4 linked regions of the Alligator mississippiensis genome follow. The protein of the gene in region 4 interacts with the protein of the main gene of each other region in a pairwise test. Links are inferred from orthologs where the notes say so. Each region holds a gene or a part of one and is shown on either strand. Other genes may lie near its edges. The genes, in order: BTRC, SMAD4, UBQLN1 and RASSF5.

The links.
Region 1: the proteins of RASSF5 (region 4) and BTRC interact in binary tests that used the Homo sapiens proteins (3 or more experiments, as listed by UniProt). The two-hybrid records come from large-scale screens. The link is inferred for Alligator mississippiensis from reciprocal best matches to the Homo sapiens genes RASSF5 and BTRC.
Region 2: the proteins of RASSF5 (region 4) and SMAD4 interact in binary tests that used the Homo sapiens proteins (3 or more experiments, as listed by UniProt). The link is inferred for Alligator mississippiensis from reciprocal best matches to the Homo sapiens genes RASSF5 and SMAD4.
Region 3: the proteins of RASSF5 (region 4) and UBQLN1 interact in a two-hybrid assay, tested with the Homo sapiens proteins (3 studies listed by BioGRID and IntAct). The link is inferred for Alligator mississippiensis from reciprocal best matches to the Homo sapiens genes RASSF5 and UBQLN1.

Annotation. Positions count from the first base shown.
Region 1 is NC_081829.1:99,941,460-99,948,988, reverse strand, and holds the start of BTRC (F-box/WD repeat-containing protein 1A), read right to left. Parts: upstream 3,017-7,529; 5' UTR 2,923-3,016; coding exon 2,875-2,922; intron 1-2,874. UniProt on the Homo sapiens protein: Substrate recognition component of a SCF (SKP1-CUL1-F-box protein) E3 ubiquitin-protein ligase complex which mediates the ubiquitination and subsequent proteasomal degradation of target proteins. Recognizes and binds to phosphorylated target proteins.
Region 2 is NC_081826.1:287,955,725-287,963,362, forward strand, and holds the start of SMAD4 (mothers against decapentaplegic homolog 4), read right to left. Parts: upstream 3,017-7,638; 5' UTR 2,874-3,016; intron 1-2,873. UniProt on the Homo sapiens protein: In muscle physiology, plays a central role in the balance between atrophy and hypertrophy. When recruited by MSTN, promotes atrophy response via phosphorylated SMAD2/4.
Region 3 is NC_081826.1:202,971,537-202,978,475, reverse strand, and holds the start of UBQLN1 (ubiquilin-1), read left to right. Parts: upstream 1-3,928; 5' UTR 3,929-4,064; coding exon 4,065-4,208; intron 4,209-6,939. UniProt on the Homo sapiens protein: Plays an important role in the regulation of different protein degradation mechanisms and pathways including ubiquitin-proteasome system (UPS), autophagy and endoplasmic reticulum-associated protein degradation (ERAD) pathway.
Region 4 is NC_081837.1:41,643,345-41,651,204, forward strand, and holds the start of RASSF5 (ras association domain-containing protein 5), read left to right. Parts: upstream 1-4,857; 5' UTR 4,858-4,872; coding exon 4,873-5,245; intron 5,246-7,860. UniProt on the Homo sapiens protein: Potential tumor suppressor. Seems to be involved in lymphocyte adhesion by linking RAP1A activation upon T-cell receptor or chemokine stimulation to integrin activation.

The sequences.
Region 1 (7,529 bases), on a different chromosome or scaffold from region 4:
GACTGCTCCAAAATCATTGCCAGGGACCAGGCAAGCATTTTTTAAATGAAAAATAATCATACAGACAAGAACAAAAATATCACCACCTACAAGGCTGCTTCCAGCCCTTATTGTTTGTTGTGTGAATCCGGAGCCAAATTGTAAATATTGTACTGGGGCCCGGAGAAATAATGAGTCTGGTCTTTTCAAAGAGTGTTTCAATATTTAAATAAGGAAGGCACCTTGACACTTGTGAAAAGATGCTGTGCAAATCAATAATGAATAGATTGGACTGAAGTGAGCCATGCTTTGACCCACTTAGTAAGAATCAAGGTATGCCAAATTTGTCATCCACTTGGACTGACAGGAAAATGTACTGTGGATGAGTCAGCATGGACTGAAACGCATCTAATCCGTCTTTTCCAGATCTACGCCTGTACTTACGTGGCTCTCCTCACTATGGCATCTAAGCAACTCCAACTATTTAAATATCAAGACAACACCCAGTGGATTTCCCCCCCACAACCTGGTTCAGGTTAAGAAAACTTTCTCTCGTCCACCCCATCCTAACTGATGCAGAACCTCTCTAACCATGGAAGGGAGAAAAGCAAAAGACGCCGTGAAGCTCAGCTTTGCCTGTCTAATTACTGGGGAGACACTCAGATCCTATCAAGTTCAGTGCTGGGGAGAAAAAGCCAACAATGCATTAAAAAGAAAAGTACTGCTCCATCCTCTGCCAATTAGCAGAAGACAACATGTGAGCTGTCCACAGTTTTTTCTTGCTTGGGTGCTTGTCTACGTGGGCTGCAGGTATGCATGTGAAGAACTTACTGCGTGACAGCTGCACTCAGAAGAGACACGTTTGACATTTACTTCTCAGTACACGGGGTGTCTTGGCCACTCTTAACACTCAAAGCGAATCCAGCAACTTAATTCTGGTTTCTCTGCAGTCTGTGGGGCACAGATGGAGGGCAGGAGGCCCGATGGGCCTCAGGGAGCACAAGCCAATCTCAAGGAGGGCTCTGAATGTCTGGACGAAGAGCTCAGACTGGAATCTTTATTCCATGGGGACCAGCGCAGAGCACCCGTGTGATGCGTTTACAATACCAGGAAGCAGGACGCCTTATCAGCTGGGCCCTTTCCAGGGTGCGAGGCTTTGTTACACCTGAGATCTAACGAGTTGGACAGATCCAACCTAAGTCACGAATGAGTGGACCAACCTGGCCAGATCCACACGCAACGGGATCTCTTGCAAACTTCTGATCGATTATAGATGAAAGGAGGCAATTTTGACTCCCAAAGCTACTCAGGCACCGCATACGTTTCCCACCTCTACCACCTGAAAGCCTGTAAATCTAACAAAAATAAAGGGCGCTGAGAGAAGAGTCCAATGGTCTGAACAGGAGGAGAGAAGGCTTCAAGGGGCTATCAATTGTACAAGAAAATAAATGGAGGTCATTATACGCTGAGAATTTCTACCGCTTTTGAAGTGCAAATGAAAACCAAGATTTGTACCAAGTGTTTCGCTAGTTCCACCTGGGGCATAAATTCTGAGGGTTTAAACTGATTTTTTTTCCCCTTTTTTTTTTTTTGCTCCCGAGGAAGAGATTTAAATCTGTGCCACTGAAAGGACTAATCCAGAACAAACTTGGAGCAAACGCTGCCTGTCAACTGACTGACATCCTCGGAGGCAGAAGACTTGAGCCCACCTGAAATGAACGGTCAGTTAACGTGGCGTGGATGTTTGTGCAAATGTCTTGATGCGACTGTTTTCCAGCCCAAACCAACCACAAAAAACCCCCCAATCTGGAATTAAACCTGTGGTCAAGACGAATGAAACGAGAGTTGAAACCAGTGTCTCTAAACCACTAATCTACACAAACCAGACTCGGAGGCAGACGCCCCCAAAAACTAGTGTCTGGCTCAGGATCCAAGATAACGGGCAGGCTCGTTCTTTGAAAAGCAGCGAGGAAAAGGAAAATATGGTGGGCGGAAAGAGCGAGAGAGGCCGGCCCCCAGCCGGTGGTAGAAGGGGGTGGGGAGGAAAAGCGATGGAGACGGGCTGTGACGGGGGGGTCGCACCCACGGGACCCCCCCGCAGAGCAGGGGCAGGGGCAGGACCGGCCTCCCCCACAGGCCCTGGTGCCCGGGCAGGCTGGAGTGCCCGCGACACGTCTCTGCCCGGCGCGTGCCCCCTCCCCGGGCACCGTGTCCCTCTTCCGCAGGCTCGTGGCCCCCAAATCCTACCAATGGAGGGGATCCCCACCCCAGAGCCCCCCAGCCAGCTACCCCCCCACACCCCCCATCCAGCTCCTAGCCTCAGCAGCCCCCCCCCATTGCTTTGTACCCCCCCAGCCCATGCTGGGGGCACCCCCATAATGCCCCTCCCCCCACCCATGCATTACCATGAGGACCCCCCAGGCCCCTCCCCCACTGCCCTGAAGACCCTCCCAGACTCCTGCATCAGCCCTTGGGGGGGGAACCCCCAAATGCCCCTCCTCCACCCCCCACAGCCCTGTTGGGGGGGGGACACACACTGCCCACCCTTTTTTTGGGGGGACCCCTATATAATGCCCCTCCCCCACCCCATTGCCCACCCATACCCTTGCCTTAACCCCCCCCCCCTGCAGGGAGGCACCCCCATAATGCCCCTTCCCCACCCCCACTGCGCTGAGGACCCCGCACAACTGCCCCTGCCTCAGGCCTTGGTAGGGGGCACCCCATGACCCCCCAGACGCCCCTTCCAGGCCCTTGCCTCAGGCCTTGCGGGGGGTGGGGCACCCCATCACGCCCCTCCCCCACTCCCTGCCCCTAGGGCCCCCACCCCACTGCAGGCCCGGGGGGGGCACCCCCATCAGCCCCGCAGGGAGCTCTTAGCCCTTCCCCGCCCCTCACCATGAACTTGAGGGCCTTCTCCTGCAGCACGGCCTCCGCCGGGTCCATAGTCCCGCCGCGGGGCCGGGCCGGGCCGGGGCCGCCCCCTCCCTCAGCGCCAGGCCGGAGCCAGCGCAGGCAGAAACCTGCGCTTCTCTTCCGCCCCCCCCGCCCCGCGCGCATGCGCCGCGCGCAGGCCCCCGGGACATGGAGTCCCCGGCCGCGGCGGCGGCGAGGGCCCGGGGAGGGAAGGGGACTACAACCCCCAACAGCCCTCGCGGCCGCGGCCCGGCTCCCCGCCGCGGGGCTCATGCGCAGTCGGGAAACCCGCGGAGGCTCCCGGGAATTGTAGTTGGCAAGGGCTCTGAGGGGCCTGATGGACAGGCAAGGGCAGGGGGAGAGGGCTCAGCTCCTCATCCCGGGGCTCGCGTTTAATTCTGCCAAATGCTACATGAAGCCCATTTATATAAGAGATAGAGATACAGCTAGAGATACAGATATAGATATATATAAGGGATAGATATTGATATTGATATTGATATAGATATGGGACATATATCGATTATATATATAGAGAGAGAGAGAGAGAGAGAGAGAGAGAGAGAGAAATATGGGAGATAGATAGATATCTCCCATATCTATCTATCTATCTATCTATCTATCTATCTATCTATCTATCTATCTATCTATCTATGGGTATAGGATAGATAGATAGATAGATAGATAGATAGATAGATAGATATCTCTCTCTATATAACTATCTAGATATAACTCTATCACCCATAGATAGATAACCCTGAGTCAATAGATATATATGCACATATTAATTTGTATATATTAATATGTTTATATATATTCATTTTAAAAATATTTCTTAGGGCACAAAACCTGAAAAATCCGTGGCCTTGATAAAAATAAGCATTTTGCACCTAGCCAAACAGATCGAGTTTAACCTTTACAAGTGTCTTATGTCAAGCACAGCAAACATATTTACACAAAAGCCACGAGAACAAGTGCAGCTAAAAGAGCTGGCTGTAAAAAAAAAAAAATAAAAAAATTGAGGTATACTACAAATGTCGCCTTTTTGTGAGCTACGAAAAGCAGCCAGTTTATGTTTAAAGAGTTCATTGCAATTCTTTCCATTTAAAATAAAAATCCTATAAATTAGTAAGGAAACCATGAGGATTACTGAGGAAAGAATACACTTGACATATTCATAGACTCACAGACAGTGAGAGCTAGAAGGGACCTCGGGAGGTCACATCTAGTCCAACCCCTGCTCCAAGCAGGACCAGCCCCAACTACATCATCCCAGACAAGGCTTTGTCTAGCCGGGTCTTCAACACCTCCAAGGATGGAGACTTCACCACCGCTCTGGGTAACCTGTTCCAGTGCTTCACCACCCTCTTTCTGAGAAAGATTTTCCTAATATCCAACCTCAACTTCCCTTGCTGCAGCTTGAGCCCATTGCTCCTTGTCCTGTATCTGCCCCCACTGAGACCAGCCCAGCTCCATCCTCTGTGCAGCCCCCCTGCAGGGAGGTGAAGGCTGCTATTCAATCCCCCTTCAATCTTCCCTTCTCCAGACTAAATAATCCCAATTCCCTCAGCTTCTCCTCACAAGCCATGTGTCCCAGCCCCAGATCCATTTCCAACCCCCTAACCCCCATAAGCAGATCAGGAAGGAGGCATGGGAGACATGGCCAGAACTGCAGGCTGTGGGAAGCCCCCTTCCTGAATTCACATACTCAGTTTGCCTTAACCCTGAAGTGCCCCAGCACCCTTCATCAACAAAGAGAAATCGCTTGTTAATTATTTAAATAAGGACCGGACTTCACTGGGAAATCAGGTCTTGTTTGCACAGAACATGGGGAGGGGGTGTTAGCAGACCCTTGTGAGTATGTGTTACTCAGGGGCCAGAACCTGACTGGGCTAGACTCTGTACACACCATGAGAACCCCTGCCCCCAAACTCTGATGGTGTAATACCACCTCAAATGTGCCTGCAGTTGGGGACCAGTGGTGCTAAATACCCAGTAAAATGGATGAAGCTACAGATATGGGACTTATACATGCCACAATTTTTGCCCTTTCATGTGCAGCAACTGCATGTCTGTTTGCACGCGCGGGATTTCCCAACGCTTTAAAAGTCTTTCTTGTGCATTAAAGTAAAACTCCTCAATGTAGTTTAGTTTGGCTTGCTGGGAATGAAAGCATTGCGTCCATGGATTCGTTGCAAACTAAAAGTCACATTGAAACCCTGGCTGTTGCTCCATGTCAGCACAACTCTTCCTCTGCTTCTATCTCTCTGCTTCCCCTCTGCCCTAGGTCCCCTTGCACATCTCTGTGCTCTCACCCCTGGATCATTTCATTCTCCTTCCTGCCTTCCCTTCAGCTCCGAAAGGCCAGTCACACCTTGCGTGCCAGCCAGCCCGTCCCTTCCCTCCCCCGGTCTTGCAGGCTGGATGGTGATGCTTAAAGCAGGTTGTCATGCCTGACGTGTCACCGCGCTGGGTATTTCCCAGGCTGTTGACAAGACTGCCTACACTTTCGGCATTACCTAAATAACAGTAATTAGGATGAGGGAGTAGTGTAATTAGAATGGAGCCACTCTCCACTGCTGCAAGAGGCTGGGAGTCCCTAGAGTTTGGGCTCTGACGGCTCTAAGTCTCAGCCCTCCAGGCGTGCGGCAGCTGGCAGGGAGGTAAGTGGAACCTTTCTGTAGCAGCGGGAAAGGTTCAGTGGTTTTGCTTTTGTGCTTTATTTGTCAATAACATTTGAGGCCGGCTTAATTGTAGGGAAATTGAAAAGTGTACTGCTGCGGGAGCCCGCACTGCTACCCCAAAGCCCTTAAGGCTGCTTTATCTATCGGTGACTTCTCTGAGCTGAACTTCTTCTGATTATAACAAGCACAGACCAGTGAAAGGAATTACAAAGCTTAAATTGTGCCTGACCTCACATGCTGCCAGGGGGTAGCTCTTTTATTCGGCCTGAAAGGGAGACCGGGGTTATTAAAGTGGCTGTTACGTGTATCCCTACAGGGGCTGGGCACCCTAGGAAGGGACCAGGATTGCATTCTGCTTGGCACTGAGCAAACCCACAAGAGGACATGCCCTGCCCCAAGGACCTTACAGTCCAAGGCAAGAGACAACAGGTGAATACAGCTAAGGGAGAGCACAAGGAAAAGGCGAGGCCAAGTGCTCAGGTACAGGTGTAACATGTGGGAGGCTCTGTGACGGCTTGCGGATTTTATTGGGATCTTTCTGCGTTATGGTGTTATGAATGATGTTGCGTGCCTCATTTTCCCCACCAAGCTCGTACATGGGGAAGGAATGGGCTAAAGAGACAAGGAAGCAGGAGATGACAGATGGACCTCTGCCAGCCACAGCCCTCAGTAGCTTTGTTGACAGATCAGCAAAGGTGAGATGGCCAGGGGGCTGGAGGGAAGGTGGACGAGACCAGCATAGGAAGGGGTGGAGAATGGGAACAAGGTGTCAGCTCCTGGCCTGAGAGGCTGGATCGGAGACCAGGAGAGGATCTTCGGGGGCTCTGGGCCTGGAAAGAGAATAGTGGAGCGATCTTCATGGTTAGCTGGGCTGTGCAGACTGGACGGGGGACAGAGGAATGGCGTAAGCCTTCGAAGAGGGGGCAGACACCCTCTGGCTGCGTGACTTCGGCCCTAATTGAAGCAGGTGTGCATTTTTGTGGGAGAGAGCTGGGATAAAATGAACAAGCTTTTGAAAGCAAGAGCTGCCTGTTTGCTGCTTGGGACTTGGGGCAGCCCTTGTTCTCCGCAGCAAGAGAGGGTAAAGCGCCTCTCCCGGGGCACAACTGGATGCAGCTCCAAGGAAAACCAGGAAAGACGAGAGACCAAAAGGCCAGGGTTTCAGAAGGAGCCCGGGCTCCTCCACTTGCTCTAGGAGACACAGCAGGGCTGGCTTTGAGGTGCACTTGCAAAGACTGCAGTTACCCCTTGGAGGGGACTCTGTGACAGGCTCCATCACGTGGATATCCCTGGATCGCTGTGGACATGCGGCACTTCATCGGTACAACTTACACCGGGGTATCATGACGGCTGACTTTTCCCTGGGCAGCTCTACACCTGATTCGAGACCCTTACCCCAGGTTAGCAGCTTGTCTTGTACCCATGAGCCCCTTTATCTTGCCCAAAGGCAGGTAAATGTGTTGTGCATCCAAACTCCACCCCGACTGGGCGAGAGGCAGTGATCTCAGTGCACGAAATGGAGATCCAGAACTATGGAGGGTCGGGGGGTGAGAAGGAACCGATCCCTTTTTGCCCTGCCTGCTCACACCGCAAAGAGGCTGGACATGAGTGCAGGGCAAATTTGAAACAAATGTAGGTACAAGTGATGTGGCTGAGAGTCACCGAGAGCCTGGCTGCCCGTGATTGCTAGAATCATCCTCGAAATCCTGTAGCCGCAGGGCTGGAGAGGACCTGCGGAGGTCAGATCGAGTCCAACCCCTGCTTGAGGCAGGATCAGCCCTGTGCAAACCAGCCCAGAAAAACCCATCATCTAAACTCTACATAAAACTATTGCCAGCCCTGACACAGCACCAGGCATCACACCTGAACCTGCCACGTGGAAAGCAAGGGGACTGTGGCCACCAGCATCCTGCTCCTATAAAAGGTTGTTAATAGATGCCCCAGGCCGAGGCC
Region 2 (7,638 bases), on a different chromosome or scaffold from region 4:
GAGGTAGCATATTTTCTCACATACCACCCCCAAATAAGGCAAGAGGGGTTGGGAATTGGGCTCAGCCAGTAGTGCTTTACCAGTTGAGGGCCTGATCCTACTGGTGCCAAACTGCCTGGACCCTCATCAACTATGGTGGATAGCTAACAGTATCTTAAAAAAAATTAGCCGAGGGCTCGTCCAGCTTGAAAAGAAAGGCAAGGAAGCTCAGGGCTAAGCTAGCAGCACTTAAGTCAGCTGAAGTCCTGTTGAAGCCAAACTGCCTGCCTCTACTCCAGCCAGGTGGGCCCTCAGCTGACTAGCAAGTCCCACTGGCTGCCCACCTGGCTCAGAGAGGGACCAGATATTTCGGCTCCACAGAATCAGGAAGAAACACTTCAGTCACAATCTGTACAGCAGTGGGGAAGTATGTTGTGCACAACTTTGGACCTGCAGGTTTGTCTGTCTTGATCTGGCTTATTCTGTAACAGATTTCAACAAGAATCAGGTCCTCTACTTCCTGAAGTGTTTCTTATGCCTTTGGAGTAGAAGATTTCTTATTGTTGAAGCTTTACAAAAGCTATGTTTTTCTTTAAAACATGATGGGTTGGGGCTCCACCAGGCCCCTGTCAAGGGCATATGTAGTCTAAGAAAGAAAATCTAGAATGCACTAGATTTACCAAGTGACAGTAGCCACCATTCATACAGTCTGAATAATGAAAAAAAAATGGTTCATTACACAAGTTACCCTGTTACTTGACTGGGAAGGCTCAGTCAGGAATTATCCTTCCTTGAGCAGGGAGCTAGATCAGTTTACCTCCGAGCTCCCTTCCTATGGTAATGCAGAATGTGACAAACTTCTAGATACCTTTAAACAGCAAAAACAAGAGGCAGGTAAAGTGACCAACTGCATTTACAACCACACTTAAACTATTAAGCAAGTATGTGACAACATACATCAATGTTTGACAAAGTCTTTAACACCCCAGGCAGCTGACTTCAAGGGATATCTCACCACTGTCTAACTGTGCTACTACAACTTGAGTTTTCACTAGCAAACTTAAAAAAACAGGCTCACAAACATGCAACAAAACATTTCACAAATTGATGCAGGTATGAGCAATTTGTTGAGTTTTCCAGCCAAAAACTTTCTTTTTTTTAACCTGAAGAGGGAATAAGAACCACACACACAGGCACAATCAGCACTAAATAGCAAAAATGAGGAGTACTAGTGCAGGACTAGCCTGGCACGGATCTGTATGACAAGAACTAAAGGCAAACTAGCCATAACATTCTTTAAACATTAGCACTTTTCTTGAATTTGAATAGTTACATAGTCTCAGTTCTGAAACTGGGACAGAGCAGAAGTCATACTACAACACAGAAAACTAACAAGTCACACCGAAAGAATAATTTTGGCACACTAAGTTTTGGCACGCTAATACAAAATCAACCACAGCAATTTAGAAAAGCGTCACGGGCAATATCAGCTATCTCAAGCAAAAAAAAGCAGCAGCAATAATTAAGCTTATTTGAATTGAGACTAAGACTATATTTCACAAATGGCAAAGACCACTTTTTCTTGTGAAACGAAGAAATCTTAAGATTTAGCTGCCTACGGTGAAGTATTCGACTGTTTTTCCTCAGCTTCCACCTGCGCACTCCTACTATTTTCAACAGCATTTTCAAGTGCAACAGACAGGCCGTGTAAATTCAACAAAACAAATATTTCTAATTGAACACGTGCAAGGATTATGGTAGTATTTTTATTTAGAGAGAGAGATAGATATTTATATACATACACACACACACATATACATGCTTACACACGCACATACACACACCCCTCCCCCTTACTTTGTCACTGAAGTTAGCAATTACACTAACTCAGAAGATATAAAATGAAGAGAGCTGATGGGTAAGATCGCACGTTCACTTAACCATTTTTTAGCCTGCGCTGGCTCAAACAATAAGCTTTTTTTTTCTTTTACCAAATCCATTTACATCACGTTTTACTGAGACGGAGGATGACCAGCACTTAGAGGAAGGAGCTGCCCATGCTCTTGGTTCACCATTCAACTATGACTCCACGTTAAAGATCCTGATCTAAATGCTGTGGCCTTAACAGAGACCCGAAAGGTTCCCCCTCCCCCCGTGACCCACTGCAATACCCCTTCGGGACAGACACTTACACCGACAAACATCAAACGAAAGCAGCAAGACCCAAGACAGTTTCACAGAGAGCCCCTGACCCTACGGGCTTTCACTAGACTGCTTCAAAACACATGACAAGATCCAACTTTCAGGGGAAAAAACCTTCAAGTTCAGCAGAAAAAAAATCTCAGGAACAGAGGAAATAACTACAGCTAAACCAAGTCACAAAAGGAATAGTAAAAAATTTTAAAAACACAACACTGTGCCCGGCCAATACAGCCTGGATACGTCTGCGCGGGGTGCACTAGCTCACATCTGCTCCTGATTGAAATCTGCAAAGGGAGAAGTGCGCCGTGTTTGCGATTTAAGAAAAAACAAAACAAAAGAGAGAAAGAAAGAAAGAAAGAAAGAAAAGAAAGGAAGGAAGGAAGGAAAACAAAAACCTTTCCCCTCCGGGCTGAGACCAAGCATGGAAACATCCCAGCCCCGGCTCCGGGACGCGGCGGGTGGGAAAGGCCCCGCAGCGCCCGCAGGGCGTCGGACTGGGGCTCTCTGCCCAAAAACATCCTCTCCCCCCCCCCCACAAAAAAAATCCCCCCCAAATGGTCTTGTTTCCCCAGCGAGGGCCAAGAAGGGGAGAAACCCCCCCCAATAGAAATGACTCCTTCGTGACGTCACGAATCACTTCGCCGTGACGTCAGAGGGCCCGTTAGTGCGGATGTGGGGGGCAGGGGGGTTACCTGGGCCTCGGGCCCCCCGCTCCCCGCCCGCCCGCCCGGCGCCGCCTCCCCTGCGGCAGGGCCCGGCCCAGGCTCGGGGCGGGCGGGCGCGCCGGGCCGCGGGGAGGGAGGAGGTTGGATCCGCCGCCGCCGCCGGTTGTTGTTGTTACCGCCGCTGCCGCCGCCGCTCCGCCGCCGACACGTCCAGCGCCGCCGCCCCGCGCATGCGCCACATCCGGGTCCCTCGCGCGGCCGCGGCCGCCGCCGCCGCCGCCGCCGCCCCCCCATCCCTGAGGGGCGGACTGCGCCTGCGCAGGGGCGAGACGTCTCTATGGTTGCGAGGCGCTGGGGTGGTTGGTTGGTTGGGGTGTTTTTCCAGTTTGGAAGGGCGGCGTTTTATGTTTCAGGGTGCGGGGCCCTCCCTAGCGCAGTGTTCTTCTTTGCCTGCTCTGGTTAGAGGGAAGGGTAGGGAAGGGTGGGCAAGGGCAGGGAGCCCTGATGCTTTGGGGGTGCTGCGGAAAGTTTGTCCGTACGCTTGGGGGTGCTGCGGAAAGTTTGTCCGTACGCTTTGGGGATGCTGCGGAAAGTTTGTCCGTACGCTTTGGGGGTGCTGTGGAAAGTTTGTCCGTACGCTTGGGGGTGCTGCGGAAAGTTTGTCCGTACGCTTTGGGGGGTGCTGCGGAAAGTTTGTCCGTACGCTTGGGGGTGCTGCGGAAAGTTTGTCCGTACGCTTTGGGGGTGCTGCGGAAAGTTTGTCCGTACGCTTTGGGGGTGCTGCGGAAAGTTTGTCCGTACGCTTTGAGGGGTGCTGCGGAAAGTTTGTCCGTACGCTTGGGGGTGCTGTGGAAAGTTTGTCCGTACGCTTGGGGGTGCTGCGGAAAGTTTGTCTGTACGCTTTGGGGGATGCTGCGGAAAGTTTGTCCGTACGCTTTGGGGGTGCTGCGGAAAGTTTGTCACGAGGCCCACCAAGTAAAGTTGCCAACCCTCCAGGATTGCCCTGGAGTCTCCAGGAATTAGAAAGAAATCTCCAGGAGACTGCTGATAAAAGCTAGGGCATTCATTAAAACAAATATTAAATGTTGAATCTGATTTATATAGTAGTCCAGTAGGTTTTTAAAATGTAATAGTAATGTTGCATTTGCCTTCCTGATATGCAATGATGACATTAATGACTTCACAATGTGACGAAACCTCCCGGAATAGGTTCAAAGAGAGTTGGCAACCCTACCACCAAGTTTCTTATTGGCATTCCTCAGGTGGGGAGACTGCAGGAAAGGTGGCAATTGATTCCTTGGGACAAATAATAATGAAACTGGGGCAGGACGCTGCAGAAAGGGAGGACTCCTGGGTTTATTACATCCCTGGGTGAGAAGCCAAGCCTGCAGACAGGTGCACAGAGGCAGGCTGGCCTCCTGCCAGCTGGGCCGGCTGCATCCTGCAAGGTGGGCAAAAGCCAGCAGAGAGTTCCTCATGGTGCCCAGTGGCTGGGTCTCATTCCTGCTCCGCTGTGTGGCCAGGCCTCAGCAGCAAAAGTCACACCAGGCGACTCCTGGAGATTGGAAAGCCCCAGTGTCTCCTCCAGCTTTGCACCTTAGATTCATAGATTCATAGATGTTAGGGTCGGAAGGGACCTCAATAGATCATCGAGTCCGACCCCCTGCATAGGCAGGAAAGAGTGCTGGGTCTAGATGACCCCAGCTAGATGCCCATCTAACCTCCTCTTGAAGACCCCCAGGGTAGGGGAGAGCACCACCTCCCTTGGGAGCCCGTTCCAGACCTTGGCCACTCGAACTGTGAAGAAGTTCTTCCTAATGTCCAATCTAAATCTGCTCTCTTCTAGCTTGTGGCCATTATTTCTTGTAACCCCCGGGGGCTCCTTGGTGAATAAATACTCACCAATTCCCTTCTGTGCCCCCGTGATGAACTAATAGGCAGCCACAAGGTCGCCTCTCAACCTTCTCAACCTTGGTGCCCCTTCCTCTCCTCAGTGCCCCCATCCACAGCCTGACGTTGCTTTTCCCCCGGGCCCAACCAACCTCCATCAAACAAATTTTTCAGTCACGAAGAAGAGTACATCCCGAGCACAAACATCTCTAGGGAACGGTGGGAGTCAGACAAAACCCCTATCTCTGCCTTTGATGCATTGCAGCAGAGTAGCGCTATTATTCTGCATTTCCCCTCAAGCCCCATTAAGACATCTGGGGCCTTTCTGACCGGGAGACGTAGGGGCAGGTTACATGAGTAGGACCGAGTGCATGGCTTCCTGCCTGCTAGATAAACTGGAGAGACACGGGTTAGGGAAACCCCAGCATAAGTCTTGCCATATAGGACGGGAAGGGCTAGTATGCGGGAAAGGGCATCCTCTGCCAGGCCAGCTGGCGGAAGCTCGGGCTCCCAGGAACAGGTGTGTCCTTTTCCTTCCTAGCAGGCTCTAGCTGGGTTGAAGTTGGTGTGAAGAAAAGGATATGAAGAAACAGATAGCTGAGACTTCATTTTTCCACTTCAGCTATTGAGTTTACACACATGCATGCACCCTACCAGTTAGATTTCAGACAGAAATAGCAGTGGCTGCAGCAGTGGATAATAGGAACTGTCCTTGGCAATGATTTTGCTTCTTCCTCACAAATTGTTTTTCTCTAGGGCCCTGGGTGTCTACTGCCATGCTGCAGGAGACTGATGCTGCCTGGGGTTATCAGTGCATTTGTTCAGTAATCTTAGCTCAAGAGCACATCCTCTGTCCTCTCTGTGGAGCCCTGGGTTGGACCAAAGGAGTCTTCTGGCAGGGCGAACAGAGCGCTGTGTCTGCTCCACCTCTCCACACCAAGCCACACAAGGTCTTGCTTTGAACCTTGATTTTAAGATGCAAGGTGCTCAACTAACACAGTTCCTTAAAAAAAATGACCATGATGATAAGGTCCAAAATGAATTTCCTATACTGAGTATTAGTTTAATGATGCTGAAGTTCACAAAAATAGTGTTAGCCACCATTCACTGAAAAAAATCCCTCCTTTTCCATCTGGACTGTCTTAAATTAAACATTTTAAATTTCTTCTAGCAAAAAAACTCTCACTTTTAGGGTTGATTCTGAAATGTTTAAGGTTTGTCAAGATGGAGAACTTGGCCAGGATATTTCGTAAGAGCTCACTGTGTGCACTTATTACACCAGGATAAAGGGGATGGAGATGGGGGGGGAGATACAGCAAACTCATGTATTCCTCAATAGCGATTCTTGCCAACACCCCCTTTAGATAAATTATCCCACTGACCATAGTTGGACAACTTTTATATATAAGCCTTTCAAGGCTGGGTTTTAAAAGTTGTTTGTATAGATTTTTACAATATACAGTACTCATTTTAAACCATACCTCAGTCTATCTATGCATTATTCTACTTTGTCTGATTTGGGGAAAATAAATGTTGTTGACAGTTGCTTAATGCAATTAGCCTAGCCCAAAGAAAGCCCCACTGCAGTCACAATTAATTAATCAAGCTAAGCAGCTCCTAAAATTGAGGTAAAGGCATCAAACTCTTTTACCTTAGCTTTAGTATGACTCCCCAGCTAAAATACTAAATGGTGCCTTCACTGGTGTCAGTTGTTGTGGTGGGTCATCCCCTTTGTTTCCCCAGTTGTGATTCAATAAGACCATCCCTTTAGGCAGTTAAGTCCAGGCGGGGTTTTGGATTATGAATTCCCCATAAACGGTAGGGCTGTGCGAAACGGCAGCATTCTGTTCGATCAGCGCTTCAACAGAACAGTGTTTTGTTTCAACTTTTGTTTCGAGTCGAAACGGCTGTTCTGTTTCGTTCTGTCGAAACATTTTGCCGTTTCGACCCTGTTTTGATGTTTCGCCCATAGGATATAATGGGAAAAGTCAAAACAGGCTATAACTTTGTCATTTCTGGCCAGATTTGAATTAAACTTACAGGGATGGTAGCCCCTTCTGAGGCCATGATGCATGCCACGTTTCAAGGAGATAGGTACAGGGGGCTCGGAGAAACTGCACCCCCAAATCCTGAAAGTAAAACTCATGTCACGTGTATGTGTTAAGCCACAGTGGGGTCAAAACTGCAGGGATGGTAGCCCCGGCTGAGTCCACAGAGCCTGCCAGCTATCAAGGAGGTAGGTGCAGGGGTTCTGGGTTTTGGGGCCCTGCACCTCTGGCCACAGGCAGGCAAAACTCGTGCCAGGGGTGTTTATGCAGCTGTCTGTCTTGGGGCAGAGGTGGGGGGAAACTACTGCAGGCCTGGCTGCTAGGTCCTGCTGCAGCCACAAAGCCTGCCAGCTGTCAAGGAGGCTGGTGCGGGGTGGTTCTGGGGCCCTGCACCCCTAGCTGCTCACAGGCAAAACTCATGACATGGGTGCTTGTGCAACTGCTGCCTCTCATCAGGCAGGAGGACTGAAAATCCCCCATAACTTGTCACCAAGACCTGAGGGTAATAACTGACCACTGTACGAACATGAGCCAGCAATGCGATGCTGTAGCCAGCAGGGCCAACCATACACTGGCATGCATCAATTGATGCATCTCCAGCAAAACCATTGCAAAGAAGTGATTCTCTTGCTCCACTCAGCACTGGCGAGATTGCAGCTGAAGTACTGCATCCAGTTCTGGGCTCTGCACCTTAACAAGTAGGTGGGCCTAGTTGCAGGAGGTGGCCAGGCTTCCAGATGCACACCCCGATCCTCTGCATTTCCCATGCACACTCCTGCAGCGTGCTGGTTGCTGGAAATCCAGAGGAAATGTTGCATTTGTCTCCATCCAAGGTCCGAGAGGTCCAGGAAACA
Region 3 (6,939 bases), on a different chromosome or scaffold from region 4:
GAGAGAGAGAGATGGACTGCAGCAGATTCTAATTTTTTCTGTGCCTTCTCACTGAGGCAGGGCACCCCCACAGGTGGCAGAAGGTCAGGGATTCAGCCCCCGCCAAATGCGGGGCAGCAGGTAAAGCCGCAGGGCTGCCTGGCCGCAGGCTTCAGGTGGCTGCAGTAGGGGTGGGGAGGGGCATGCACACAGCCAGGATTGCAGCCTGGCATATGAATCCCTGGCTGCCCAGCATAGCAGGCAGGCCGACTCATCTTATCCAATAGAACCTGCAGCTGCAGGGGGCCCCGCAGCCAGCCCCTGCCCCTGACACTGCCGTTGGCTTCTTCAGCTGCTTGCCACCAGCTCTCTTCCCCCCCCCCCCACCATGCTACTGCCAGCTTCTTTGCATCAGGGGGCCCCAAAACATTGTGGGCCAGCCCTGAGAACAGGCAAATATCATCAGTCTATTCTGTTAGGAGGAAGGGGCATGGGGAGGCAGATCGAGGTTCCCATGGTAAGGGAGAGAGTGGGGCAGAGGCAGGGGCATGGGCTGTGGTAAATGGGGCCCTGGCCAGGCTGGGTGTTGGGACAATCGGAGCTTGGGAAGCTTGTCCGGGCGGGGGGGCAGCTTCTGCTGCTGTGTGCACCCTGACTGAGGCCTGGGGGGGGAGGGGCACATGTCCCCCCAACCTACAGGTGAGGCAGAGGTGGCTGTCGTTGTGTGCTCAGGCTCTGGGCCCCACTACAGCTGCCCCAGGAGTGGTAGGACGCTACGCGCCTGCCGCTGCTGGGCTGCACCGTGCCCCCAGCTCGCCCAGTGGCAGGACACGCGTGCTGCCCCTGGAGCAGCTGTAGCAGGGCCCAGAGCTGTCTCTGTCTCGTGAACAGATGGGGGGGGGCACATGCCCCCCAGGCCTCTGCCAGGGTGCACACAGCAGCAGGAGCCCCCCCTGCACCCCTGGATGAAACGCCTGGGCTCTGATTGTCCCACAGGGCCCCATTCACCGCAGTCCCTACCCCTGCCTCTGCCCCATTCCCTCCCTCACCGCAGGGACCTCAATCTGCATCTTCCCCCCCCTCCCCCCCGCCCTTCCTGCACACTTGCCTGCTGGGTGCAGGGGTGTGGTGCACAGATGCACTCAGCCCTCCCAATAATTTTTTCTCCTTCCATTTATGGGAGCCCCACTAGCAGTTCACAACCTGTATAATTTAATGCTGGCAATGTGCTGGGGTGGTGGAGGTAATAAGATAAGATTGACTTCAATTTGAGCAGTACCGACACCTGGGCCTAATTTCAGAGTGATAAAATTCTTCCACAGTTCTTTACTTGTGTATAGTTTGGTCATCCATTGAGTTCATTTGTCAGTTGCCAGTAGTTACTTCCATCTGAATTTGGTATCTCCATGAGACAGCTTACATTTGAATGCCTTGCACTGCAGGTGCTTATCCCCAGGAAACACCTGTGCCAGGAATGCTCTGGCATGTGGCAGGTTACTTTGGGTGGGGTAGGAGAGGCTGGGGCCAGCATAATTGCTGGCCCCAGATGCCTTACCTGGGGTTCTGGGGGATATAGGGAACAGCAGCTGTGGCACTCCTGCAGCTGGAAACCTAGCTGGCAGCCCAAGTGTGGCACTGGCCAGCCAGGTTCCAATTGTGGGCAGCATGCGCTGCGGCCATGTGCAACACACTGCTTTTTTTGGTGTGGGTTATTTTGACCCTAGGCTCCCCTGGGGTCAACCCCCCCCCTCCTCCCTGCACTGCAAAGTAGCAGCATGGGGAATGCCTACATGTGCAGTGTGTGGCACCGGAGATGGGTCTTAGGTGCCATGTACCACATGTCCATGCTTGTCTGGACGCACCCATGGAATAATGGCTGGTTGAAATAGGTGTTACACAGTGCAGGAATCAGCTTGTGGTGAGGAACGGATGCTTTCAGGGCATTGTAGTGTTCTTGACACAGCAATGGAAGCAGGAGTCAGTGTTTTTTTAGGTTGTGTTGCAAGGACTGGGTGCAGTGTGATCTAGGCTAGGGACAGACATTCAAAAAGCCAGAGCCTGAATTGATTCAATATTTGCAGGTTAGTCTAACCAATGTAGATTGAACTGATTTGCAAGTGACCAGAGGTTCAGTTTTGATTCTGGAAATGCAGGCACATGCCTGTGATGGCTCAGGCTAGAAGCCAGAGATCTTCCTTTCAGGCTAGGGGGAAGCTGAACTGAGACAGGTGTGGCCAGGCCTCAGCAGACTGAGTTCGTTGGACAGGGGTTTAAACCCCCAGCCTGGCCTGCAGGGACCCCAGCCAGGGTCTACCCCTCTTGTTCCCTTCTGCTCATGGCTCAGCATGGCCTGGAACCCCCAAAGCCCTTGTCCCAGCTAGCAGGTGATCCCACTGCACCTTCCCAGCTGCTGGTGCCTAATTTTACTTGGGGCAGCCCAGAAGCAAAGGCCTAATTGTGGGGAGAGAGGGACCTAGGAGCAAAGTTCCATAAAGGAAAGCTCCTGTCCAGTGGCCCCTTCTACCCACTGGAGCGCAGCGCCTGAGACGGCCACAGTCTTTGCTATGCTGTGCATGGCAGGAGCTCACCTGCTGAGCCCCAGCACTATGACCTGTGTCCCCTGGGCACCAAACTGGGCGCACTGTGCTCACTGTTCCCTTATCCAGTGGTGGCACAGCACAGCCCCGTGTACCAGGCTCCAGGTTCCCTGTGGCTTCCCTGCTGCCGCCATCACTGTTGGGTGCCTGCCCTGGCCGTACAGGTAGGTGCCAACACCACTGCCGAACTGCGGTCAGCTACCAGGTGTGCAGACAACAGCTGGGAAGCCCTGGGGTAGGGCCCTGCCCCTAGTGCACAGGGCTGTGCTGCATCTACAGCTTCCCCGCTGCTGCCTGGGGTGTGGCCAGACGCAAACCTAGCATGGTCTCCTAAGGCCAAGTGGGCAGGGAGGAAGTTTATTCCCCACTCCATCCCCTCTCCCACCAAGAGACTGCAGCATGGCCCAACCCAGCTACTGCCTCTGCTGCTTGCACCTGGCCAGGCAGACCCCAGCTGTGGTCCCCTGGTGGGTGGGGGAAATAAACCTCCTCCCTGCCCCCTTTGCCTCAGGGGGCCATGGCAGGCTGGCATCTGGCCATAGCCCCACCCCTACTCCAGCTAGAGAGCAGAAGGGCAGGGCCAGCCCTGCTCTCTGGAGCACAGCGCATAGTACAGCACCACCCAGGGCTGCAGAGCATGCTGGGAGGCTGGTTTAACTTAACCCAGGAAGGGGTCTGGGACAGAAATTCTATAAACTAGTTTGACCTAAATCAGTTCAGGCTGATACTACATTCAACCAGGTTTCTCTCAAACTGGTTTCAGCCATTTTGAAACTGGTCTGTGTGCACTGAACTTCTGTTCTGTTATAGGTTTAAACCAGCTTCTGATCACTTCAACCCGTTTATGTGTAACTTCTGTCCCTTGCCTTGTGGGGTGATCAGCACCAGCAAGCATATTCTCAAAACGAGGGTAAAGCAACTGAGTGGGTGGGGGGTGTTGTATTAGTAGTGTGCTGTTCCTGAATTGATATTGTAGCCCGTCCTCACTTTTGGGGGGAGGGGGCAAGCTGCGCTGAGCCTTAACCCCCCGCCTGAGCCCGTGCTCAGGTCACGCGCAGCTGGAAGAGCAAGCTACACGACCGGCGGCCGAACCCAACCAGCCACAGCGCATGCGCGTCAGGACTGCTACGCACCCTTTACCCTAGTGTTACATGCGCACGCGCAGCGAGTGACCCGGCAGTAGCCGGAAGTACCCCCCTCTTCACAGCCCGGAACACCACCCCGTTTCGGTCCCACGCATGCGCACTGCCCGCCCGGCCCTACCGCGCACGCACAATGCAGAGTCACTTTGCTGCGCATGCGCAGCGTGGCTGAGCCGCGTCTCCAACGCCAAGCCGGGAGACACCCCCTTCTAGTAACTTCCCCGCGGGGCGACGTCATCACCGCGCGCCACGCTCCGCCGGGCTGTTTCCGTTGAACCCTCCGGCCGCGAGGGCTTCCGGCGGCGCGGCGCGAGGGAGCGTGTCCCGAGCCGGGTTCCCCGCCGCCATGGCAGACAGTGGAGAGGGGCCCCCCGCGGCCCGCAGCCCCCCGGGCTCCCCCGCCGCCGAGCCGCGAATCATTAAAGTCACCGTGAAGACGCCCAAAGAGAAGGAGGAGTTCGCCGTGTCCGAGACCAGCAGCGTCCGGCAGGTGAGGAGGGAGCGGGGGAGAGGGCGCCCCTTCTCGTCCAGGGCCGCGGGGCGTCTCCCCGTCGCCTCGGAGCTCCCAGCGGCTTCGGGGCGGGCGGAGCGCGCGGCCTTCCCCCCCCCCCCCGCTTCCGGGCGCCGCCGGCCTGTGCGGGGCCGGCTGGGGTGAGTGGCACCCGCTGAATCATCCCCCACACACCCCCCTTGGGGACCTGACCTGTCCACCCCAGTCCGGACCCAGTGCGAGTCCATGAGATGGTAGAAAAGGAGGGTCTGTGGAGGTCTAGTCTAGCTCCTTGCTCTGAGCAGGGCGTTCCCATCTGTGTGGCGCCAGCCAGGGCTTTGTGTTAAAGGTCTCCAGGGATGGCAACTCCACAAATTCTTTAGGCAGCCTGTGCCACTGCTTTGCTGTCCTCCGGGGCAGATCAGGCTGGCAGTGGTGGGAAAAGAGCAGGGAACTAGCGAAAGAGGTGGGTTTAGGGCCAGAGCTGTCTGGCTGAACACCGCCGCCCCCCTCTCCCCCCCCAAAAAAAAAAAAAAATAGGGCTCCAAGGCCAAGGACAGCCTGCTCTGGTCTTGCACCTGTGTTGAAATGCATTCAAGTTTTTCAGCCTAGCTGGAAGCGTTCCTGTTGAAGTCATAGCTCCCTTTTCTGTGGCCTAATGAGCTGTATTCTTCCCACGTGGTACTGCTGCCTGTTTCTCCATAGCATCTGACATAGCAGGCTGTATGTAGCCTTTGGCTTGTGCCTGTGAGTTAGTCTGTAAGGGGCCACCCTGCCCAGCCTGCTGCCTGTGTACATGGCCAGTGTCTACATGCAGAGACTGACGTGCCAGCTGCCTGGTAGCTAAAGAACAAAGCCACCTTTTAGGACAAGGCTGCCAAAACAAGATGGGGGTTCCAGTAGCAAGATGCAGGGCCAGCCCCCTGGCTAGACTTTCCCTCTTGCTAGCTGTCAGGAAGGGGGAGGATGCTGGAATTTCTTCCAGGGTATCGTCCCTGAGCCCTTTTGGGATTCAGTCTCTTATCTCAGCTTTTGGCTTAAACATGTCTGAAATTGTAAAATTCACTGTTTTACTGCTGAGCAGGGGAAACATCTCTAGGCTCCACCATGCTACCATGGAGCTGTGGCAGGGTTGGGTGTTCTCTGTTAGTTTGTTGCAAGCATGTTTTCTGGCTTTTCTCCCCAGTATAAAACTCAAGCACATCTGCCTTTGCTGCTGCTCACTGCCATTCCAAGAAACAGCAGTGTAAAATGGACATTGTTCTTTGCATTTCCTCGCTGCTCACAGAGACCTGAGTAGTATCCCTGAAACTGACTGGTTTTATTTCTGCTGTTTTTGTCAAACCTGTACAGCATCACATCTGATCTGTTTAGAGATGGTTGGGGAATATAGATGCACATTTCACAAAAACTGATGGATGTTCCTCCTTAATTTAAAGCTCCTTACTGGGTAAAAATGACACTATGCAATTAAGTATAAGCTGATGACCTAAAAGCCTTTTAAGAAATAATTTAAAAAATGTCCCTGTGGTCTTGCAGGCACTAGATTAGGGTTTGCTCAAACAGCTTTCCAGTTGCAAATGGATACACTGACATTTGTATTTATAACTAACTGGGAAGAGAAATGCACTTAGATGTGACTTTTGCCATTAATAGTTCCAAAGACATTTAAGCTAGACATTTAATTTTGAATTGCATTTCTTAAATGTGAAGCTTTAAAACAGGTGAAGTGTTTCCTCTGACAGCTGTCTAAAAATTGAAATTGCTAGGCTTTTTTTTTTTTTTTTTTAAACAGAGACATGAGATGCTTTCACAAAGCGATTTACAGAATATTTGTGTGCCCACTTAAAATGCAGATACGATAAGCAAGGTGGTTAAAATAAGCTTACCCTGTTGAGGAGACCTTGAGTTAAATCATGGCTCTGTTGAAGTCTGTGGAAAAAACTCCCACTGATTGTAATGAAGCCAAGAAGACTTCACCTCTGACTTCCAGCCCTCATACTTCTGATTCCTATACAAAAATGGAGGCAACTTCTAACCCCTACAGGGATTTAAGGCCTGCAGTTCCTGTATCTTAGGTATTAGTAGCTACGCCTACACTATGAAACTGACCTATTGTTAACAGTATCAACAATGGTTTCATTTGCATAAGCAGTGAAAATTTCAATGTACAGACAGAACCAAATAAATTTTGAGCATCAAATCGTCTGTATCTGTTGTGAACAGTGGCTTATTTGACTAATGCAAGCAAGTTATTGGCATTATCCTCTTCCAAAAATGGATAACGGTCCTGAACTTATTTAGTAGCTTATAGGTATGTCTGGAGTGCCTGTGTAGTCCTATGCAAGTTGAGGTCATACGTGGTACCTCTTTGAACCAGAAAGGGTAAATTTCTTATCTAGCTGCCAGGTGCAGTGTAGGCTCTAGTACATAAGCTTGTTCTTTCATAGGTGTTTCTGCATGGTACTCCATTGTCATGTAGACGTACCTAAATAGCTTTTCAAATCACCTTGTAATGAAGGAAATGGTTAGTAATTTGAGACATTGATTGTCCCTTTAAATAGAGTTCACTGGGTTGTTTGCTTTAGAGTAGAGCAGTTGGAATCCAAGTAAATGCTTTGGCTCCTTAGAAAAGCCTGTACAATGCTGAGTCTGTTTTGTGCTGCTTGATTGATGTGTAAAGTGTTACTGTCACTGTGGTAGAATTTTCAAATAATGTCCAAGTCGGATT
Region 4 (7,860 bases):
CTGGATCGCAATCCAGGAGCGATCGCAACCTAACATCGTACGAAGCAAAACTTTTGGATTGACTTTTCCAGGGAGCCAGGTACATTTATTTTTATCTTTATTTTTTAAAAAAAAATCCCGCTGAACATTCAAGCCGAATCTTTCATGCTGGTTCCCCGACATGATATGCCTTTGTCTCTCGGTTCTTCTGTTTGCCCTCTTTCCTATATGTGGAGGTTGGCACGGCCTTGTTACACATCAGTTCAGTCAAACACGCAGCCTTCAGTTGTGCAAAGGTCTGAAAGGCTGTGTTTATGTAGATGAGCCAGGATCCTGAGCAGTGGGGAGAGGGGGCCTTTGCTACTGATGTGATGAGACTAGAATTGTGCAGGTCAGAGTGGCACTGAATATCTCATTTAATTTATACCTCTTGCTGTTAACAGATTATGGCACTATGGGCTTTTAACATGGATCCAGCATTTAACTGCAGTCTCGCCAGTTCATGCCAAACTCCACAATGGGAGACAGAGATACGGAGAAATCAAACTTACTCTCCAGTGTAAGAGATGAAAGCAATCGTCTCTTTGCATGATTTTCCTCTGACTTAAACTAGGAGCATTTCTGCTGAAGTCAGTGAAGTTGCACCAGTTTTATGCTAGTGCACATATGAGAAAAGCTGATCCAGTGGTTGGGAGTGCTAGTCTGTGACCCAAATTCATCTCCCTGCTTTAGTACAGGTGTCGTATGTGACCTTGGGCCGGTCACTTAACTTTTCTGTGCCTCAGTTCCCAATCTACCCAGTGGAGTAATAGCAGTGCCCGGTGCACATGAAAGATTGTGAAGCGTTCGGGTACTGCGGTAATGGGGTCCAGCGCTATAGATAGTGTTACGGACAAAGAACTGCTCTGTGCATCAGGAATCCTAGTTTAGGGAAGGAAGAATCCTCTCTCGGTTGGATTCAGGAGTGGAAGTTGGCTGTTTTTCTGTTCCTACTCTTCATCTGATCTTGGCCGGATCACTACTACTTTGTGCCTTTCTCTCCTGATTTATAAACGAGCCTAGGCTTCTCGGGCATGCAGCAGCCTGACGCTCAAAGGCTTTATAGTTTCAGGTCTGCAAAGAATATAGAGCTGTGTTTTAAGACCGCTGTTGCCCTTTGTGCTGCCTTTTTATAATCTCTCCTCTCAGTGCAAAAGGCATATAAAAATGAGTTTTCCAAAGCAGAGATTGCAGGGACGTCTGAGCTGGCAGAATCCTTTTGCTACTCAGATTTTTGATTTCCCAAAAGGCTTGTTTGAGGTATGCATATCAGGTGGTTAGACCTGTACCTCCTTGAGGTGTTCCGCTTCCTTAGAAGGCAAGCCACGTTTGTGAGAAGAAAATATTCCAGGTTGCCCACTTCACGTGATCCCTCTGTGTAGCTCTACAGTGCTAGTATAATTGGAGTGGGAAAATTTAATTAGTTCCAGCTAGCTTTTGGGGCCTAGTCAACCCTCCGACTATGTAGCAGCAGAGCTATTTTGGTTGGGAGCGTGAATTTGTCCCTGTGTAGTTACACCAGTAGAACTCCAACTGCGGGGATATTGGTATAAAGGCGCTGTATAGCAATAAAATGTATTCCCCGTCCTCTATGGGAAATAAGGTTACAGTCATATAAATGCACTTCTACCTCTGTAACGGCATCCACACTATTGGAGCGGATCCATCTGAGCTATGGCAGCCTAGTTTAAAGCAAGTACAAGCCTTGTGCACAGACAAAGCGGGTGTGTTGAAGCAGAGAACGGGTTGCTGTCTTCTGAGGGTGCCAGGTACCGTGACTGCTGGTTTTCCAAGCAGAAAAGGCTAGAGAGCAGCTGGAGCAGTCTATTGGAATTTCCTATAGGAAACTTTTGCTCAGTTGTTTGCACCCAGTGTCCAGGTAAAATGCAGTAGGAACCCCTTTCTTAATGCCAAGCACTTCTCTGGTACCTCCGACTCAGAGGCTTGCCCTCTGCGCTGATTGCCTAATGCCTCCAGGCACCAGGAGATAGGAAGGTGGGGTTATTCCCCGTTGTGAAGGCTGAAATGCTCATGCCATCACCTGACTCCAGGCAATGGGGTAGAGGCGTTCAGAAGTGCTAGGTCTCCAAATAAGGGAGCAGGAATTGGTAATATTGCATTTATTGTATATGGAAATGGAGGCACCTAGGATCAGTTTGTCCCTACGCTTGAGGTCAGAGTTTATAACTGGGGAAAGTTTGTGCCTTCCAGCTAGACTCAGCCCGGTTAGAAACAAGACTTGGAGAAAACTGCAATGACCCCAAAGGCTCAGGAGTTGGAGCAGACAGGGCAGACGGTCCTCTCCGCGGTTCTTGTTCACCCACCTCTAACACTCATAGTTGTTTTAAAAAGAGCCGGGTGAGGCTTGGCCTTTCTTTTTGGCTTTGTGATTGTAAGTCTGCACCCAATAGAACGGCTGTGGGGATATTTTAAAATTCAAATGGAAGCTTTTAAAAAATAAAATAAACATAATCTGGCACTGTTGGCAAATACTAGCAAGTGCTAGCGCCTGGAAGACAGCAATGGGAAATGAGAGAGTTTGTTTTCACTTGCCTCCCACCATGTGCCACATGAAAGTAAAAGGCAGCAGTGAAACTTTCAGACGTTGGAGGCAGGCAGCTTTATAAGGGGTTTGGTAGTTTGGTTTTCCCTAGCCACTAAGTTTGCAAATGTGCAGTTCCCAATAAGTTCAGCGAGATGTGGTGATGCCCGTGACCTGTGGATCCCCAGCCCCTAAGTGCCGGGAATAAGAATTTAGACTCTCCAAAGTTTGAAGTGGTTGGGCAGCCGTGAAAATATCTTTGTTTTCACAGTCTCCAAATCTTACTTGCAAGAAAAGGAAGGAAAAGTGTTTAAGTGGGTCATTGCTTTCTATAGTATCGTGGAGCACGTGCCATGGAGCAGACCCCAGTCCTCTTGACAGTGGACACAGAGCTCAACGTCAGTCTGTACCTGGAGGAACTTGGCACAGGGGCGTAGACTCAGGGATGCTGAGAGAGGGCTGAGTGTGCGGGAACAAACCCTCCACCTGGCGTGCAGTGCTGAACCTGCAGCAATTGCTCTGTGACCAAACACACTTAAGATACAGAACCGCATAACTTACTTCCCAAGGAAGGGCAGGACTGACTGTTGTGATCAGTCTGACGCAGACACCCAAAGCTTCCTTTCAAACAGTCCTTTGGCCTCTGCCATGGCTTTGGGGAAAGTGGTTTGTTACTAAGCCAATTCCTATTACAGGCAGCCGGTCTTCACCAGCTTGGGTGGAACCGTTGAATATTTAGGCAGCAGGTTAAGATTTCCAAAGCGCCCCTAAGGCGAGATTCCCAAAGGCATTCGGGTGTGCTGGAAACCCCCCTACCTCCCTTTACACAGCTGGTGCCAAGCCGTATTTTCAGAAGGGACTAAGGCAGGGAGGATGCTGTGGTGCACTTGCACCCTTTTGATCCTGCTCTACCCAAAGTTTAAAACCAATTGCCTGGCAGAGGCAGCAGCATTTCTAGTCAAGCAGCAGTGAGGGAGCCAATGGACTTCATTCAGATTACCCGATGACGTCTCAACTTTGTTCCATGGGTGTTCACGACCTGCTCTCCTTTCTAAGGCTCTGGTTGTTGCACGAACGCAGCGAGCTTTTCTTCGGCAAGGCTGCGGTTTGTGAGCTGCTCCTGCCAGGGTAGCTCCTCTTTTGCAGCCTGCGGACCGGTCCTAACGCGTTCCCGTAGGAATTGCAGTTGTGTTGGGCCCGTAGTTATGCTACACTATGGTGTTGAAAAGCGGTATGGGAGAAAGAAGCCTCCTGGCCGCTGGATGACCTTGCAAGAAAGGAAAGAAATAAAACTCGCACTAGCGAGCAAAAAGACACGGAAGGGAGAATGAAAATACCAGCTGCAACTGCTGCAGTTACTAATGAGAGTGCAAGTGCGTGAACTTAGCCAGCAAAACTAAAATGAACATCTTGGAGAGAGAGAGAGAGAAGAGTAGGTATGAAACGGGGAAGGGACACGCACACGCAAGTATAAATGCAGGAAGGAGTTGGGAGACATGTCCGGCAAGGAGACGGAGGGGAGAGTCTCCTGTCAAGGGCAAGCTCCACCAAGTTGAACCGATTGCTAATTAGACCCACTGAGCGCTGTCCAAGGATAATAAACCCTTCTGAGCTTTCATGGTTGAACATGGATCCAAGCTGTGCTTTCTGCGTTGCCTTCAGGACCTGGAAGATGGCTCGCAACCAGCAGCCTGGACATCAAAAGCGACATCAACCCCTTCCTGCTGAGAAAAGAAAACCCTCCGCTCACGGCAGAACAACCCTCCGGTACACTTCTGTCCTGGCATCCGTCTGAAACCGAATCGCCCGGCCTAGCACCCAGCTTCTTCTGACCTCGAGAAAAATAGGGGCGGTGTTGGAGGGGACGATGCCCCTCAGCGTAGGCACCCCCTTCTCGCAATCCTGGGTTTGCCCGGGGATGGAGACACGGGGGAGACCTCCCTCCCCTTTCCTCGAGGAGTTGGGCTGGAAGCAATGAGGCAGGATCAGCCCCTACACTCGGCCCGAGCCCGCACTGAGCTGGCACCCGGAGCTGCCCCAGGGCCCGCGGCCTGTGTCTGTGCGCCCCTGAGCCGGGTCGGGGCAGGAGCCTCTGCGCCAACAGGTGCGGGGCGCCCGGCCGGTGCGGGGGCGGGCACGGCCAGCAGCGCAGCCTCTGGGGGGGGAAGGAGAGGAGGCCGAGCCGAGCCCTGCCCAGCCTTGGCTCTCCAGGGGCGGGCGCCCGGCGCGTCTCCTCCCCCGGCCGCGGCTCCGGCTCCAGCTCCAGCTCCTCCCGCTCGTGCGGTGCGGTGCGGTGCGGTGCGCGGTGCTGCATGGCGCTGGTGGGGCAGCTGCCCCGCGCGCTGCGCCTGGACGCGGAGCCCGAGGCGAGGAAGCGGCGCCGCGCCAAGCGCGAGCCCCCGCGCGCCCGCCGCCTGCCGCCGCCGCCGCTGCTGCCGGGGGACGGGGACGGGGACGGGGACGAGGAGGACGGCGATGCGGGGAAGCCCCCGGCCCTGCCCCAGCGCCTGCGCCGGGCCGCCCCGCGCCTGCTGCCCGACGTGCGCACCATCTTCCAGCAGCCGCGGGACCCGCGCGTCCCGCCCGAGCGCGGCCACGGACACCGCTTCCAGCCCGCCGCGCCCCGCCTCGCATGGTGCGACCTGTGCGGCGGCGCCGTGCGGCCCCCGGCCCTGCGCTGCGCCAGTGAGTGCCTCGCTCCCCACCTGCCCGCCTCCCTCCTCACCCTGCCTGCTCCCGCCCTCCCTGCCTCCCTGCCCAGCCGGGGTTGCGTGGGGAGCCCTGCCTGCACAGGGGCGGACTCCCCCTGACTGGGTTTCCTTTCTCCTCCTCGCCTGCCCTGTGCACGGGGCGGGGGGAGCCCCTGCCCTGTCCTGTCCCGCAGCTCTGCCTCATTGCGGGTTGGGTTTTTCCCCCCTGCGCTGCCTCAGACCGTCCCCGGCTGCGTGTCCCGGGAGCTGCCCCAGCCAGGAATAGACCCCCTCCGCCTAGACTGGGCTTCTTCTTTCCTCCTTGCCTGACCTCTCTCCCCAGCTGTGCACGGTGCGGGTGGGAGCCAGGGACTGACTAGAGGGGAAGCCTGCCCCTGTCCTGCCTCCTTGCTTGCAGGAGTTGTCCCAGCAAGGGGTAGATAGATGCCCTCTGCCTCACTGCGGTTTGGTTTTCCCTCAGTGCTGCCTCAGACCGTCCCCAGCTGCATGCCCCCGTCAGCCAGTGATTGACTGGAGGGGAAAGCTAACCCCTGCCAACAGGAGCTGCCCCAGCGAGGGCTAGATGCCCTCCGTCTGATTGACCTTTTGGTTTTCCCTCAGTGCTGCTCAGACCGTCCCCAGCTGCACGCCCCAGGAGCTGGGGACTGACTGGAGGGGAAGCTAGCCCCTGCCTGCAGGAGCTGCCCCAGCGAGGGCTAGATGCCCTCCGTCTGATTGACCTTTTGGTTTTCCCTCAGTGCTGCTCAGACCGTCCCCAGCTGCACGCCCCAGGAGCCGGGGACTGACTGGAGGGAAGGCGGCCCCTGGCTCGCGTCCCTGCCTGCAGGAGTTTCCCCAGCCAGGAGCAGACTACCTCCGCCTGTCTGGGATTTTTCCCCTGGCGGCTGACTCCGCCGTCCCCAGCTACACAGCGCGGTCCAGGAGCGCGCCTGGCTCCTCCCTGTGCCCCCGCCGTGTCCTCACCTGGCACTCGGGATGTTTTGCAGGTTTAGCTTCTGGAGCAGCCGCCAGGGTTTTTTTGCACCGACTAGGTGGATGCGGGATGTCATTTGAAGGGGTGTGGGGTGGGATCCAGCGTGGCAGTATCCGTTTAGTCGTGTGGCTGCGAAGGGCATTTGGAGAACAATTAGTCGGGTCCCTTCGCCGAGCCTGGCAGCAAAGATGCTCGTCACGCTCTGCGAATCTGTGGCAGCAATGAGCTTGCAGGGGTCGTTTTGGTCACTACCGTATTAAGGTACCATCTGGCGTTTTGGCTGGAGAAAAGAAAAATGGCGATTCTGGGAGGGCTGGTGACATGTCATAACAGTCGGTGTTGTGAAGCACGGCAAGCAGAAGTGAGGAACAAAGCCATGGGGGTCCTGGTGGGAATGAGCAGTAACTTTACCCACTATCTGTCAAAGACTTTATGGGAAATCTTCGTGCAGGAGGTCAGTGTTGTTATGCCCTTTATACAGGTGGGGAAACTGAGGCACGAGGCGATGAAGCAACATGCCCAAGGTCAGCAGACCGGTAGCAGAGCTGGGAACAGACTTCTTCTTCCTGGGTCCCAGTGTATTGTGCTCTTTACCAAGCCATCCCGATAGCTGCACTTGCTGGCCCCTAGAAGAGTAGTGCCCCTGCATGGTGCACGTGTTACTGCCAGCATATCCCTGTCATATCGGGAGGGGTTTTTTTTCTCTCCGTAGTCTCAAGGAAATCTTGGAAATGTTACACGTGGGGGGGATTTGATTGAACTTAACGATCGTGGTGGTACGCTAGAAGCGCAGATGGGAACATGCATGGCTGATTTTTGTAGGTATGAAAACTTAATGGTGGATAGAGTTGCATTTTCTTGTGAGCCGTGCTGCTGCCAAACTGCTCATTCTTTCCCTTTGTGTGCGGCTGATAAATAGACCTTGGTTTTCACTGGTGTTTTAACCTTCACCCTGCGTCTACTTGTTGAAGCAGCTGGAAATGACTGTTTCTGATTGCAACTTCCATGTGACTACTGTACTAATGGTTACAAGAGTAGAGAAGTCAGTAATTAAATTGTTCCTCCCCAAAGACAGGACTGATGACTTGAGCTGGACTGGATCTGTATTTTATTTCTCAACAGCTCCCCATTTGCACGGCGACTTCTCTCTGTCCCCTCTGTGTTCATGGTTAGCTGTTCACTTTCCGAGCCTGCCTTGTGCAGCATGTCGAACATCGTAAAGCGCATCTAATCCTGATGTGCTTGCATATAATTAAGGGCTTCTCATCGTAAAATGTGTCTGGCAGGGGACGCGTGCTTCAGAGGTTATGCCAACGCTGCAGCACAGTGTGTGCTCGGGCTCCACATGTGGATCTAGATTCGCTGTACACTCAATATTGATGAGGGGAAAGAGTTTCTGTTCTTTAAATTCACTCTGCAGGTTGCTCTGTGTGCTGAATTGCTTACGGATGCATTTCCCAGCTCTAACGAAAGAAGCAGAGATAAGGCACCTTTTTAGCTGAAGCAGCGAATGAAATGGGAACGTTTCTTCTGAGCTAAAACGTAGGTCCATTTTATTACCCATCTGCTGCAGTTTGGAAAAGGAGGTTTCATGGGAGTCTAATCAGGTTGTTTTT